Diceros bicornis minor: one gene and its partner. Each later gene encodes a partner of the first gene's protein in a complex. Links are inferred from orthologs where the notes say so. Each region holds a gene or a part of one and is shown on either strand. Other genes may lie near its edges. The genes, in order: GLI1 and SUFU.

What was found.
Region 2: the proteins of GLI1 (region 1) and SUFU are in contact, whole or in part, in a crystal structure (PDB 4KMD), measured with the Homo sapiens proteins. The link is inferred for Diceros bicornis minor from reciprocal best matches to the Homo sapiens genes GLI1 and SUFU. Residues at the interface, in NP_005260.1 of Homo sapiens: Gly119, Ser120, Tyr121, Gly122, His123, Leu124, Ser125, Ile126, Gly127; in NP_057253.2 of Homo sapiens: Leu144, Tyr147, Asn153, Thr154, Phe155, Gly158, Asp159, His160, Val161, Ser162, Trp163, His164, Gln212, Asn265, Leu266, Ser267, Gly268, Val269, Ser270, Ala271, Glu376, Leu380, Lys398.

The regions. Positions count from the first base shown.
Region 1 is NC_080756.1:11,495,086-11,502,386, forward strand, and holds the start of GLI1 (zinc finger protein GLI1), read right to left. Parts: upstream 3,134-7,301; 5' UTR 3,012-3,133; intron 2,798-3,011; 5' UTR 2,650-2,797; intron 1-2,649. Other genes in the region: INHBE (inhibin beta E chain), read right to left, coding at 5,690-6,447, 6,706-7,003. UniProt on the Homo sapiens protein: Acts as a transcriptional activator. Binds to the DNA consensus sequence 5'-GACCACCCA-3'. Regulates the transcription of specific genes during normal development.
Region 2 is NC_080745.1:67,459,657-67,467,007, reverse strand, and holds the start of SUFU (suppressor of fused homolog), read right to left. Parts: upstream 3,097-7,351; 5' UTR 2,953-3,096; coding exon 2,771-2,952; intron 1-2,770. Other genes in the region: ACTR1A (alpha-centractin), read left to right, coding at 5,209-5,256. UniProt on the Homo sapiens protein: Negative regulator in the hedgehog/smoothened signaling pathway. Down-regulates GLI1-mediated transactivation of target genes. Down-regulates GLI2-mediated transactivation of target genes. Part of a corepressor complex that acts on DNA-bound GLI1.

The DNA of each region.
Region 1 (7,301 bases):
AGCTAAGGAGAGGGTGAGGAGAGAAGTCCCAAAGAGGCAGAGGCAGTCTTGGCGATCTCTGTGGGAACTGGGTGGGACCTTTGCCTGGGTGGTCTGTGTGTGTGGTGGGAGGAGAGCGGGGTGTGGACTAATTGTGCCTATATGAGCTTCAAGTGACTTTATACCATGGGCCCTCTCTTTCCTCTTGCTCAGACCACGGGCCAGCTTTGACAGGTGGGATGGGGAACTCATGCGGAGCATCTGACTTCAAGCCCTGGGCTGGCTCCTCTGCCTCAGCCCCTTTCCCTCTCCTTCATTTGTTCCTGCCCGGGGACAGCCCGTCTACAGTCTCTCCAGTGTCCAGCAGAGGGCGCTCTCGCCACAGCCCAGACAGAAGCTGCTGGGGCCAGGAGAGATCACCGACGATCTGCCCTTTTCTCCCTATGGCAGAAAACTGTGTGTAGAAGGGGATAAGGTTTCTGAGGGGAGCCTCCCGGGTCTATTGGGTGAAAGGATGAAATGTTTTTCTGATGTTATTCTGGGGTGGTTTGAATCTGGGCTCCCATCTAAATTCTTTTGGTCTGTTTTGGGAACAGGAGAAGGACTATGAAGGAAGGCTTTGAGAGAATGAAAAAATGAAGCCATCATCCATTAGAGAGGAGTAGTGAAGGAGGAGAGGCTGCCGCTGTCCGCTTTTCTCCTCAAACTCCAGTTTTTATTCCGCCCCGGGTTTTCCGGTTTCCCGGGACTGAGGGTGGGGTGGGGCGGGGTAGGGTGGAGAACGACCGGGAGCGGGCCGGCCGGCGCGGTGGGTGATCCCGGGATGCTGGGATTTAGGGTGAGGGCGGGGTAAGATGGGGAGCGGAACCGGGACCCCATGATCCAGCCCGAACCCCGCAGCCTGGGCTGTACCCTTCCTAACTCCTCCTTTCCCAGCGGAGATCCGGGTCCCGCATCCAAGACCTCCCAACTCGACCCTGGCACTAGGTTGGGTGGGGGGGCACAGCTGGCTGGCAGCTGGATGGGGGGACACTTCTCCCGCCTCCTTCTATGACTCACCCAGGGGAAGGAGGCGGGGGCTCGCAAATGACCCCCCAAACACTAAAGAGACTCCCCCAAACGTGCCTACTCTCATCGTCCTGCCCCACAGCCCAGCCGCAGGGGAGCAGAGTTGGAAGTGGGGCGACATCCCTCCTCACCCACGCGTGCCACAGCCCACCCACGTCTCCCCTTCACACTAGTGAAAGAAAAATTTCGCCAACTTTTCCAGCTTGAGTTACGTTTCCTGGGGTGTGGGTGAGAGCGAGGATGGGGCAGGGAGCTCCAGGGTTCCCCTGCCGGAGCCCTGAATCATCTTCTGTGTCTCCCTATTTTCCAGAGTCCCCCTCGCACCCCCGCTCCCCAACTCCCAGGAGTCGGCCCCGCCCCCTTCTCCCGGTCCCGCCTTCCCCGCCTCCGTGCCTTCTCGGCCCACCCAAGTCGCCGCCGCAGGCTCTGGCTGCAGACGGCTCCGCTTCCCCCGCCCGCCCCGGGAGCCCAGTCGAGCGAGCCGCAGTGGAGTCGGAGGAAGGGGGGCGGTGAGAGGCGGGACACATTCTTCCCTCCTCCCCTCAGTGCATCCAGAAAGCTGGCAGTGGCGCGGGGGTGGGGGGGGCACTGTTGGGGAGTGGGGGTCCCCGTGGCGGCGTGGAAAAGAAAGAAGAATGCCGAAACTGTAGGGAGAGAAAGTGGGTAAATAAAATAAGGTGTGTATGGGGAGGAGGAGGTGCCAGGACACCTCAGGTTCCCGGGTGTCCCGGATGGCTTCCCAAGGGTTAACCCCTCCAGACCCCCGGGAACCCCTTAGTGACGTCAAGGGCGGGGTCTGTGCCGCCTGGCAGGGGATGCCGGGGAGATAATGGGGGGGGGTCTCTGGACCCCGCCCCCCTAGGGAAAACCACCCTAATTCCGGCCCTCACAACTCCCCCGGGAAATCGCCCCGCCTTCTCCCTCTACTGGACCGTAAAGATCTATCCTATCAAGACCCCAATTCTCCAGCCCCCTAAAACCTTCAGTCCCCGGTCTCTATGGGATCCCCTTTCCCTAATCCTGTCCCCAAAGCTAGCTGCCCAGGGCGGATTGTTTCGGGGTCACGGGGCCTGAAAGAGGCTTCAGAGCGGGGAGCAAGGGCAGGCAGGGTGGTCTGAGCCAGAGGAGGGGCCTCGGTCCCCAGCTCCCGTTTGGGAGGGGGGCCAACAGGGATGCACAAGCAGGCAGCGGCCAGTGGTCCCGCCCAGTCCCAGTAGGGGTCTCCCTGCGGCTGGCCCCAGCTGCCCTGGTGGTCCTGAGGTCAGAGGGTCAAGACAAGGTCTCCTCAGCTCCTCCTTAGCACCCTGCCCACAGCCCTTGGGACTCAGGAGTCCAAATTCCCTGGGGAGTCTTTCTAGGGCCTAAACTAGACACTGGCCCCTCCAGCCACCCTCCTAGTCCAGAAGGCACTCCTCTTCCTCAAAACACATGCACCCGAAAGCACATCTGTCACAAGACAGGTCAGGGGTTCAAGCCTAGCCGCCCCCCGGTGGTTCTGTCGCCTCACACACACCCATCTCCACCCCACCTAGGGCTCTCTCCTTAGCTGTCCCCTCCTTTCAGAAACACTGACGTCTTCCTGCCCGGCGCTCAGAGACACACCTGGAGTTCCCTCTACCACGCAGACCTCCAGCTAGCCGTCCCTCCAGCCTCTTCATCCCAACCTCATGGAAGTGAGATGTTTCTAATGTATGGGAGAGGCAGAGACAGACAAAGAGATCCACGGTTGCCTGAGACAGAGACACACAGACTGTCAGAAGAAAAAAAGATACAGAGAAACGGAGACACAAATGAAAAAATTCTCCAAACTTTCTAAGATCTCACCCCAGGCTCTCCCACCCCCATTTTGCCTCTGGGCCCCAGGTCTCCCTCTTGGCTGGGCAGAGTCCCTCGCAAGCAGAGCATCCCCTCAAGCCCCCTCCCCCACCGCTCCCAGGTGGTCCCCCGCGCGCCCCCCTTCTCACCTCCGCCTGGGCGCAGGGCTCGGGATGCGCGGTCCAGGTCTGGAGTCTGGGCTGGGGGTGTGCGGTGGGGAGGGGGGGCGGACAGGGCCACAGCAGCGCAGCCTCAGTGCCACCCCCACCGCCCTAACCTGGCCCCCAGCCCTCCCGCCGGCCCAGCCCGCCGGGCCGCGAGCCGGGACCACCCGCGAGAAGCGCAAACTTTTTTTTTCTTTTTGCAAAAACTTTTTCTCGCTCAAGCTGCTGGCGCGCCGCCGCTCTTCCCGCTCGCCCCTCACCTCCCTCCTATTTCCCTCCCTCTCACCGTTCTGGAAGATGAGGCGGGGTAACTGGAAGCGAGAGAGGGGGTGCCGGGCTTATTGCACCCCCAGGACCCCCAGGATCCTCCCCCTCCCTTGAGGGACCCTATACTGCCTGCCCCCCCTGCCCCCCCGCTGAACACGCTGCTGCTGGTGGGCAGTAAATCCCGGCATGGATCCTTGGATCGACTACCCACGAAGAGGCCCTGAATCAGAACCAGAAAAAAGATTGATAGATATATGCGGGGGGGGGGGGGAGGCGGGGGGCCGGGGCGACTAAAAGTTCGTCCGAGAAAGATAATATTGAAGGTTGGGTCGTCGACTTTGGCTGGTGCTGATTGAGCATTCCGCCACCCTGTGGTTTATCTGCCGGCTTCACCCATCGGATGGAACGTGAAGGGGTTGGGACAGAGTTGGAGTTTGATGGAAACAGGGTTGGGACAGAGTTGGGGTCGCCGGCCCTGCGCGGAAGGTGAGGGAGTCTATGAAGCACAAAAGAGAGGAGCAGGTGGCTCAGGCTTTGGGTGCAGCGTGTGTTCACAAGGTTACAAAGGAGCCCTGGGGCTGAAGCATGTTCCCTGAGAACCTCCGTTCTCCTTCATCTCTAAATTCTGGAGACTGCGGCCACCTCCGCACCTCTGCGCTGCCCGCTCTCTTTCGGCTCCTCAAGGCTGTCTGCTCCCTCTGCTGGCCATTCTGCCACATCACACCCTCTCAGAGTCTGACTGGAGGCAGAGGAGACTGGGGGAGACTTAGCAGGTCTCCCCACCCAAGGCCCAGTTAGGAGCCCAGGGAGGGGGTTGTATGAGCCCACAGAAACGGAGGGCACACCGGCAGAGGCTGCTAGCGCAGAGCGGTAGTACCTAACTGATAGGCGAGTGCCCTGTGCCTTGGGATTTGTGTTGCCATGGCGACCAGATGCAGGGGAAGGGGCAGCTATTTTAGTCTCTCTGACTTTTCCTTATGAGAAAGGGGAGAAAGCGTGGTGGGGGAAAGGAGTCCCCTCCTTTTATGTCACCCCTCAGACAGACCTCCCACATCCTAGCTCTGCTTCCAAGAACCACTTCCTTGGGCCTGGGGGGTCACTAGGTTCAGTATTCAGTCTGAGGGTCCATGGAAAAAGTGCAGCTAGGAAGACCTCTGAGGCCCTACAAGTATAGGTAGTAATTGGGCAGGGACATTTGACCCTCCTTCCCCCACATGACTTTGACCCAGACACCAGTTATACCCAGAGGGTCAGGCAAGACCAATGGTCACTAGAGAAGAAGGGACCCTACACATGCTCCAGTCCCAGCCATCTGCCCCTTCCCTCAGGCTGGCTCTTTTAGAGCACAGTGCTTTGTCCTCCCCACCGAGGTCTCTAGATCGGCGAGTCTCAAACATTTTGGTTTCAAGACCCTTTTACACTTAAAAATTATTGAGGTTTTGTTTATGTGGTTTATATCAATTTACCATATTAGAAATTAAAACTGAAAAAAAGTTTGTAACACAAGAATACACAAGCACCATCCCATTAACAATGCTGTCAGATGATGTAATCACATGTCACACAGCCTCTGGAAAACTCCACTGTATGCTTTCGAGATAATGAAAATTAAAAAGGCAAATAACATCTTAGTATTATTACGAAAATAGTTTTGACCTTGGGGACATCCCTGAAAGGGTCTCAGGGACCTCCCAAGGGTCCCCAGACCGCACCTTGAGAACCTTTGCTTTGGACCATCACCCCAGCCCTTCTTTATGACTCACACTTGTTGATTTGTTTTCCTTGTTTTTATTAGGAAAGTAGAAACGTTTGTCTCCCCATTGGGTCCTGCCCCCCCAGGAAAAACCAGGGAACTTCTCAGGCCCAGCACCCTTCTCTCCTGACTCCCATTTCTGGGGCTCTCCTGAACACCTTCCCTCAGCCCCTTGCCCATCTCCCTCTTGACCCTCCCTTAAAGCACTTCGACAGCCCCTACCCTTGGCCAGCCGGTTCCGCTGTTCCAAGCCTGCTGGGTCCTCGGTCTGCTTCTCCTTCCCTCACTTGAGGACTTTCTCTTCTTGAGAGAGACTAAGTCATTTTTCTCTGCCTTCTCCTCCCCCCCCCCCCCACCTCTGCCATCTTCTCACAGGGCTTAGGGTAGGAAATCATGCTTTCTGGGTAGATTCCTTTAGAAGACACACTTTCCCTATCTCCCCACACATCAACCAGCCTGGAATAGGCCAGAGGCTGGACAAGAAAGTGCCCATCTGGGTCCCATAGAGGTCAACCCAGTCATATTGCCAGGTGGCCCACTGGGTGGGGCTGTGGATCAGAAATCTGATGCCCCCAGCCACAGATGCCCTTTGCCTGGGAACCCCCAACGTGATCCCTTTACTCCAAACCCCCAGGTCCACTTGCTAGCTGCAGCCACAGGCCTCCACCACCATGTCTGGCACATCCGTCTTGACCACATTGCCTTCACGGTCAAGATAGAGGAGAGAGAGAGGCCTTCGGGCAGTAGGGACACAGCAGGAATTACCAAAGGGCCAAGGGTTGTTGGCCTTGAGGAGGCTGAAGACAGCAGAATGGAAGGAGGCAGCAATGCCGGGGCTGCCAGCCAGATGGGGGGGGCACTGGCCACTGCAGTAATTCAGCTGGTACCCCTCGGGCTGCAGAATCCAGTCCCGCCACCCCAGTTCCTGAAAGTCTACATAATGGTCTCGCCTACAACATAAGGGAGTCTCAGGCTCACAAGTGGGGGTCCTCCTCTTGGCCCGGGCTGCTCCAGGCTCATTGGGCCGGATCTTAAGCTCCAGGAAGGGCTGCTGGTTTCCCGCTGTGTCCAAGAACCGGCGAGGTTGTCGGGCAGCTGTGCTGTTGCCTTCTAGGGGTCTGCAGTCTAGTTGGAGTTTCAGGACACCAGACTCCTCACCCCTCAAGCCACTAGAGGGCAGAGTCAGGGCGTGCCAGCCCGGGGTTGTCATTTGGTGCTCAGCAAGGAGGGCGCGGGACCGTCGGCGCCTCCTCCTTGGGCCCCATCGGAAGATCTTCAAGTAAAGACTGTCAGGAAGGGTGGGGAGCACGTGCAGCCAGAGGCGTGCGTGGTACAGGTGGTGGGACTGAGGAGTGGACAGGCGGAAGGTGAGCATGAAGCTGCAGGTTGCAGTGGAGGAGTCTGCCAGAAAGATGGAGAAGGGACTGAGGAACGTGAGCAGAGATGAAGCTCTGCTCTGAGAGTCCCATAAGCCCGGCCCACTGCTTTCCCTAGCACCCACCTTTAGAAGAAACAGGGACTGCTTTGCGTCCTCCGCAACCAGTCCCTGCCCCATCTCCGCCTCCTCCTCCTACACCCCACTCCCTCTGCCTTTTCTGTCAGTCTCCCCTTCTGCCTCCTTTTCCCCATCTGCTCTCTGCCTGTTTCTCCCTCACCTACCTGTGATGGTAGCAAAGCTGATGACCTCCTCCCCATTCGCTGGAGCCACACTTCCTGGCTGTAGTCTCCGAAGCGCTCTGGTCAGCGCTGCCTGGGGTGGAGGATGAGTTATTCTGGGACGACTGGTCAGGTGCAGCCCCTCCAGGATTTGCTGTTTGGCTAGCTCCAGGACCAGAGCTCGTTCTGCTTGGGGTGCTAGTGTGCGGCCCCCACAGGAGGGGCACACAGACCCTGCCCCCTGTGCCCACACCAGCGCCCACAGCAGCACCAGCTGGAACTGGACATCAGGGAGCCCCATGCTCCTGGCGGATGGCCCTGGGTCGGGTTGGGAGCCTCAGACGGCAGTTGCTCCTTCTGTTGAATCTGATTGCGTGGAGGCTAACGAGGGCACAGCAGCAGCAGACAGCAGTGCCACACCTACCCTTGGCCAAGGGTAGAACCACCTGTCTTCTGTTGCCTGGGACTCAGGAGGGCAGGAAGAGGATGGTCCGATGGGTAGCTCTGTTTAGCGAAGTCTGCCAGTTTGACCCTCACAGCTCATGTCTGTTACTGACTGGGGCCTCTTTAGAGCCAGTGGCCTGGGGCTCCCTCACCTA
Region 2 (7,351 bases), on another chromosome or scaffold:
AGAAAAGGGAAGCTCTCCCAGGAAGGACCCCATGAAACTGCAGAACTCTGGAAAAGATGGGAGTGACTGCAGGCTTCATATCCGCTCCAGCTTCCTGCTGCATATTCTCAGTCTTGCCCCTCCCTCAGCTGAGGTCCATCCAGCAACAAGTGGCAAAACTATGTCCACTCTTCCATGCTCCATCTGTGACCTCACTGCAGCTCTCTTTCTGGCCAAGTCTCCCAGGAGGTATTGCATCAAGGAGAGAGGCTTTACCTTAAAACCCCACTGCAAAGAATGACCAAGAGTCAGACAAAATTAAGCTAGTCCCCAAGCACAGACTGTAATATTCTACTTACTCAGAGACCTGACGGGAAGCAGACGAGTATACAGAAAATAATCATATTTTGCACTTAGAGAAAGATGTTATTCAAGGACCCAGAGCATCCCTCAACTTAATTCCTACAACACTTAACTCTGCAGGGCAGGTACAGGACTGGAGTGGCCCCAGAGCACAGGCTCTGCCTCTCTGCTTCTGCTCCCTGCTCACTAAAGTCTCCGCTTTCAGCCAGGATGTCCCTGCTGGCCAAGGACCACTAGCCAAAGAGCCACCCTTCTGTTGCAAGAAAAGGAATCCCAAGGTAACCTGGCCCACAGCCAGACCCAGGCAGCCTCAGTCTGTCATCCTGCCATGAGAACTGAAGAGGCCTTGTGGGACTCCAAATGTGAGGGATATCAATGAATTAATTTCAGGATCTTAATTACGCAACCCCCTTTGAATCTTAGAAAGAATCATTTGCTGAGCTGTCCCCTCTTACGTTTTTCTTCATCTAGGCAGCATTTCTAATTTCACAATCCTTTTTAGTCATCATTACATGCTGGCCCATCTCTGGCCTTCATCATTCACCGAGTCTAGACCATTAACAAGTTTGCAGCAAGAAGAAGAAAAAAAGTTGCCCAAACCAGTCTTAGTCCTTTGCACATGCTTCAATACCTTTTACACACAACTCTATCCTTCATGGCCAGTTGGGTGACATAAAAACAGTTGCCCAAGTCCGTGTAGGGATTTCTCCCTACACTCAAATGCGGCCTGAAAAAACAGTATGGCAGAGGCAGGCCCACTTTTCTCATGACACAATCCAACAGAGTTCATCACAATACATATTTAAATATAGAGGTGCAATTAGAATGGGTGATTAAGTTATCAAGAGCTGCTTTTCACTCAGAAGCTCTCTTCAAAAACTCCTCTCAACCAAAGAACAGTGTGCTTGCCAGAAAGAACTGTACCACTGGCCACACCTCCTCCGGCTACCAGACAGAGACAGGCTGCTCCTCGTGGCCCTCCCTAAGCAGCAGGTGGCTGGTCCTCAGGCCCTCCACACTGTCAGCCTCTTCACATCCTCCCATCGACACAGGGAGCTGGCCTCAGCCCTATCCAGCCTAGCTTCTGCCATCTCTGGAGGAAGTAAGAGGTTGTCATGTAGGAGAAAGACTCAGTCTTAAAGGGAAAGGTAATCAGCAAAGACATCCCCTTCATTCACTTCTACCTTGAGTCTACCTACCCCCTCTGCCACAGGCCAAGCAGATACCTGAAAAGTCTTCCAGGATTCAACAAAGGGACCATCTAATACAATGCTTGCATGAATGTGGTTCTGGACAGATTCAACCAATTCTTGTCAACTTTTGGTCCAGAAAGACCATGAAGACAGGCTCTTTTCCAGAGTCCCCACAACACCTGTTTTGCCCAGAGGCTGCAGGAAGAGACAGGTTGCAAACAGGAATGAGAAACTAGAAAAGACCATTCCTACCCCAAGGGCAGCCCATCTGTAAACAGGTCTAATCCTTAACAGAGCTACTTGAGGGTTACTCTCAGCTTCCCTGAGACACTGCTGCCTAAATCCTAAAGTTCGTGGCCAGGAAGTTCCTCTTAACATCACACTGCACTTCTTTCCTCTTTGTCTAACTCCCAGGTCTTCATCATTTACCGAGGTCTCCTTCAATCCTGACCCAAATCATGGATCTCCCTGACCCTGCCTGCCTCTGTTCTAGCCAATGACCTAAAGCAAAGCAGCTGCAGAGCCAGAGGAAGCTCTGCATGGAGAAAGAGAACTGTGCAGAGTAAGCAGAAAGTTTATCAGGAAAAGTTGCCCGGTGAAACTTCAAACGCAAAAGCATTGCACTGATATGATGTCTGAGCTCACTGGGAAGTATCAAAACGAGACCTCCTCCTCATCTCTTCACAAGCACGACGCTCACAGCTTGCTCCCCTCCTAACCCACAGGAGAGCCCGGGTCCCCAGACCGGCCCCAACCCTATGCTGTCTCGTGCCCTTTGAGCTCCTCCAGCCCGGCTCCTCCAAAGCTCTCTCATATGCTCCCCAGGCCCCGCCTCGCCTCCCTCATCCCGCTTCGGCCGCCCCTCCTTGGCTTCCCCTCGCCCACTAATGACCCCCTACAGGCGCCCCCTCCTTTCACCACGTTTACAGTTCCCTCTCTCCTACCGTTCCCCTCTCAGCTCCTACACACACCCCCAATTCACTTTATTCTCCTAATCTCAGTTAACCCTTCAGCCTTCCCTCCTTCGTTAACCCTTCGCTACCCACAGGCTCCGTTAACCCCTTTGTCCCCATTCGCAATTTGAGCCTTAACTCCTTCCCTCGCAGCAGGAAGCCCTCCTTCCAGTGCTTTAACCATTCTCTGTCTCCTCCTCCAACCTTGCAAATTACTTCGCCCCCGGCGCTTTAACCCTGCCCAGCCCGCCCCTGTCCGTCTCCCCGCGGCCCAGGGCATACCAGTACTTGACGATAGCGGTAACCTGGAGCGGGTTTGGCTGGTCAGGGTAAAGGCGGCGGCACTCTCCGTAGATGGCGTGCAGTCCCGGGGGGAAGAGCGAGGCGAAGGCCGGGGGGGCAGTAGGGCCAGGGGCCGGGGGCGCGGTGGGGCCGGGGGCGCCACTAGGCCGCAGCTCCGCCATCGGGGCGTGTAGGACGCTGGGGAAGCCAGGGAAGGCGGACGAGGCGAGAGCACTGACGCGCCAGCGGCGGACTCCGTGGGTGCGACTCCCCGAGGCGACGGGGGCTGCAGCGAGGTGTAGGCTTCGCGCCTGCGCACGGCGCACCGTCCGCCCTGGCAGTCGCCGCCGCAGAGACCGCCAGAGGGTGCCTCGGCGGCCGCGGGGCGCTCAAGGGGGCGGGGCGCCGGCGCGCCCTATCCCAGCATCCATTGGCTAGTGTCTGTGCCAGTCACAGGTAGGGAAGGCGTGACTTGACCATAGGTCCCGCCTCCCTCTGCCTGCGTTTGGGGTGTCCCAAGGCTCTTGGCCTCCCCCTAGTGTTAGGAGGAACCTAGACTTAAATAGAGATGTTGCGGCATGCTTCTGAGGTGCTAGGGTCTCACGAAAGCCGTGGAAAGTGCACCGACGAAAGGCTTCTCACTGTTTTGCTGACACGCTGCTAACAAGGATTTAAATATAAATCTGACAATAGATTGATTCATTCGTCCGTGTGGCATTAGTTTTATTTTATTATTATTATTTTTTTTTGTGAGGAAGATCAGCCCTGAGCTAACATCCATGCTAATCCTTCTCTTTTTGCTGAGGAATACCAGCTCTGAGCTAACATCTATTGCCAATCCTCCTCTTTCCCCCCCCCCCAAAGCCCCAGTAGATAGTTGTATGTCATAGTTGCACATCCTTCTAGTTGCTGTATGTGGGACGCCGCCTCAGCATGGCCGGAGAAGCGGTGCGTCCCTGCGCGCCCGGGATCCGAACCGGGGCCGCCAGTAGCGGAGCATGCACACTTAACCGCTAAGCCACGGGGCCAGCCCCTGGCATTAGTTTTAATAGATAACAAATCTGAACGTTACCTACCGTCTTTGAATGTCCATTGACTATATCGACTGACACTAACACCGCCAAATTCAGGGGTCATATTTTGAAATACCTATTTTGGAATTCTGTCAGAAAGTAACAAGAGTTAGGTAAACTAGGATCGATTAAAAAGACTTGGTAATTATTTAAAAAATGCTTTTAGTGAAGATGACAATCTCTTTTTTCTTCTGTTTTAGGCAGATGTCTGCAGATTACTTTGAGGAACATCATTATCTACTGTGGCCTGCCCTTCCCCATTACCTTGGCTCTCTGTAACTGGAAAAAAAGTTAATTTCGAAGGCACTGAGTTGGGAATTACTTTCCTGTTTACAATAACTTTTCATATAGTAATGTCTTCCACTCAATGATCTGGAAATTCCAAGAGAAAGGGATAGAAGGGAGTCCTGCTTACCAGTACTATTAACTAAAAGATCCCTGCAGCTTGAAGGCGGGGAGGAAATAATCTAGAGAAGAATGCACTGGGCTCATTTGAAAGCAGTGACACATAACCTCTCTTCACCTCCATTTTCTCGCTCATCAATGTAAATTCTAGCTCCCCACGAAAATTAAAGAGATAGAGCAGTTTCTGAAGTTATTAGATGAACGATGTTTTAATAGCCAAAAAATCATCTATACCAGTAGCTTCAAATGCCAGTCTTCGGACCAATGTTAGCCTGTTGCAAAGTTCACACCTACCCAGGAAAAACGCGAAAAGCAACAAAAATGTACCGTTTTTTCTAAAAAGCAAATTTTATGCAATTTAAATTATTTTCTTTTGTTCTGGCAATATGTCCTTTCCCGTGTGTGTGTATTAAAATTTCCTTTAGTCGAGTGTGATGGCGATAGATTTTTATTAATGTCTTATAGACCCAAATAAAAACATGGCAATCTTATATCGTCCAGGGGAAGTGGTGGGGAGTGGCAGGAGGGATCTGTAAAATCCAAATATGCACGAATTACTGACCAATCCAAACCGAACTACAGACAAGTACTCAAGAAGACTACTTTCATACAACTTTACATATTTCAGCATGCACTGCTAATCCCTTCAAGCGGATTACAGATCCAAGCAAGCAATACCCCCATCAATCGGCATCCCTGTCTATTATCAATGGAGACTACAAAGCCCAGGGTACTGTGCGTCAGAAACGCGACGCCCCGTCTCTTAAAGCAGGCGGGGCTCCGAAGTTGCCTGGCTCGCTAACCCTGGTGCAAGGCATGCTGGGCTTGTAGTTCTTCGGAGGCGAGGTCGGGCCGCTCCCTGCCGCCCTCTACCACCGGCTAGACTGCGCATGCGTGTCAGTGGCGTTAGCAGCGGACCCGGCTGGCAGTTCCTTCCTCGGAAGGAAAGATTCCTCTGCCATGGAGTCCTACGATGTGATCGCCAACCAACCCGTCGTGATCGACAACGTGAGTTGCGTCTTTCCTATCTCTAAAGGGACGTATGCTCTCCTTCCCGAAGGGATTGCTTCCCGGGTTTCAGCCCGGGCCGCCGGCTCTTTGTCACTGGCCCGGCCTGTCAGGCGGGTTCAGCCGCCGCCGCCTCCATCCACCCCACCCCCACCCCCCAGTCCGCAGGCAGGGCGGCCGGCCAGCAACCGTGGGATGGAGAACTTGGGGATGGATAGAGGGAAGAGCTGTAGTGCGGGCCGGGTTCTTGGGCCGTTGGCTTGAGGGGCCTTAACCGATGTGAGCGCCCGGCGCCCATCCCCTCCCCGGTTTCCGATAACTCTATTGGCTGCTCTGGCTGTCCATCTTGACTGATGACCCCGCCTCTGGGCCTTGCCGGATAAGGGCAGCCCTCTGCAGTGATTGGCTCGCGCCCCTGCCATTTTTCCGGGCCGCCATAGTGTGTCCCCTCTCTAAGGGGCGGGGCGATGCACGAGGGTTGTGAGGATTGGTTTCGGGATCGCCCGGTGTAGGGGCCTGACGGGCTAGGGCCTGCCCGCGGGTAGAGAAGGGGTAAGTTTCCCTCTGTCTGCAGCTGGCCGGAGGCTTGGCGGTGTATCTGGGTGGGGCCCGAGAATCTGGTGCGAAAAATAGCCATAAGATTTCAGTTATTTCTGTGATTATAAATTATAACGTGAATAAAGGTCGAGAAGAAAGGAGAGTGACAAAGCAAGCAGGGTGATACCTTCGTCTTCGGAACGCCTAATTGCTGGGGAAAAAAATTACCAAACATAACATTTGCCAGGCGCTCTAGCGCTGACGTGGGTGGGGGGAGTGCACATCCATTCGAGTGGATCCTCACAAAAACTGGGTGAATGGTTAAGGCAGGACGTTTCATCCTCGTTTTACAAATGACAAAACTGAAGCGCGAAGAAGTCTAGTGAGCCCAGGGTCGCACAGTAGAGGTGCCCTAAATCCAGTGCTTTATCCGTTAGCATCAATAGTGACAAATGGAAAGAATCTAAATACTGCTCTTATTTGGGGCGGAGGGGGACAATTGTAAAACAACTGTTTTACGTTTCTGTCTTCCACTCAAATGTTTGGTCCCACCGAGATTGGTTGATACCTTTTCTGTGCCTCTTCTAAATGGCTCCATGGAGGCAAAACTGCCTATTCCCTGTCCGGAGCTGACTGTCAGATGCCCTCTGTTGACCCAGCCCTTGGGACATCTTAGGCATGTTACAAGGTTGTTTCATTTGCATCACCTCATTTAAGCGTCCGGTAGGTAGATAGGAATTACTACCCCCAGTTTATGCAGGAAAGTGAAGCTTGGAGAGGTTTAAATAACAGTATTCAAACTACCTGGTTTATGAGTTGAAGAGCCAAGACTTAAATTGAGATTGAGTTCCAAGGTCCTCACTTTTTCCAAGGAAAGGTGCTTTTTTTGTTGTTAGCTTTCCTTCTCTCCAGGGGTATGAGGTTGAGCTCAGTGACACACCTCATTTTGGGGAGGACTTTTTTTGTCTCTCTCACTAGACTATTAAATCTTTGTGGGAAAAGATAGTATTCCTTCGTTTTTCATTACTCTCGTCTTCACCTCACTCTACACACACACTACCTAGGTCCTGGCACCACTATGTGCTCAATAAATGTTTTTTCATTGGATTGATGGGTGAGTGGATGAATGATTGAATAGCTTTATCACATTAACAAAGAAGTCCCTAAATAAAGAGAGGTTGGGGGTGGGGCGGAGGACCCTAGTTTGTTATGGCAGAGGGTTAGGTATAACTGCTGGATCTTGATGTTGAATTTCAGAGAACACCACTATCTCTGTCTTCAACCAGTTTGTGTGTGCTTCATCTGCCTTTTTTGTTTTAAAAAGAAAATACAAATAGAAATTAGCCATTTCCTGTTTTCATCAGCAGTGCAGAAGGAACGGTCTGTCCATCCCACCAGATCCTCTGCTTCTTGAATTGTTTGGAAGGAGTAGTTCCATCTCCAGCCATTTTCTTTAATGTCACTTAAGCAAATGCTTCTTAGTCTCTCCTTCCTCTCTCTTGGTAGTGTATTTTGAAATGCATCAAATCAGTGGTGAATTTTCAGTTTTAAAATTTAA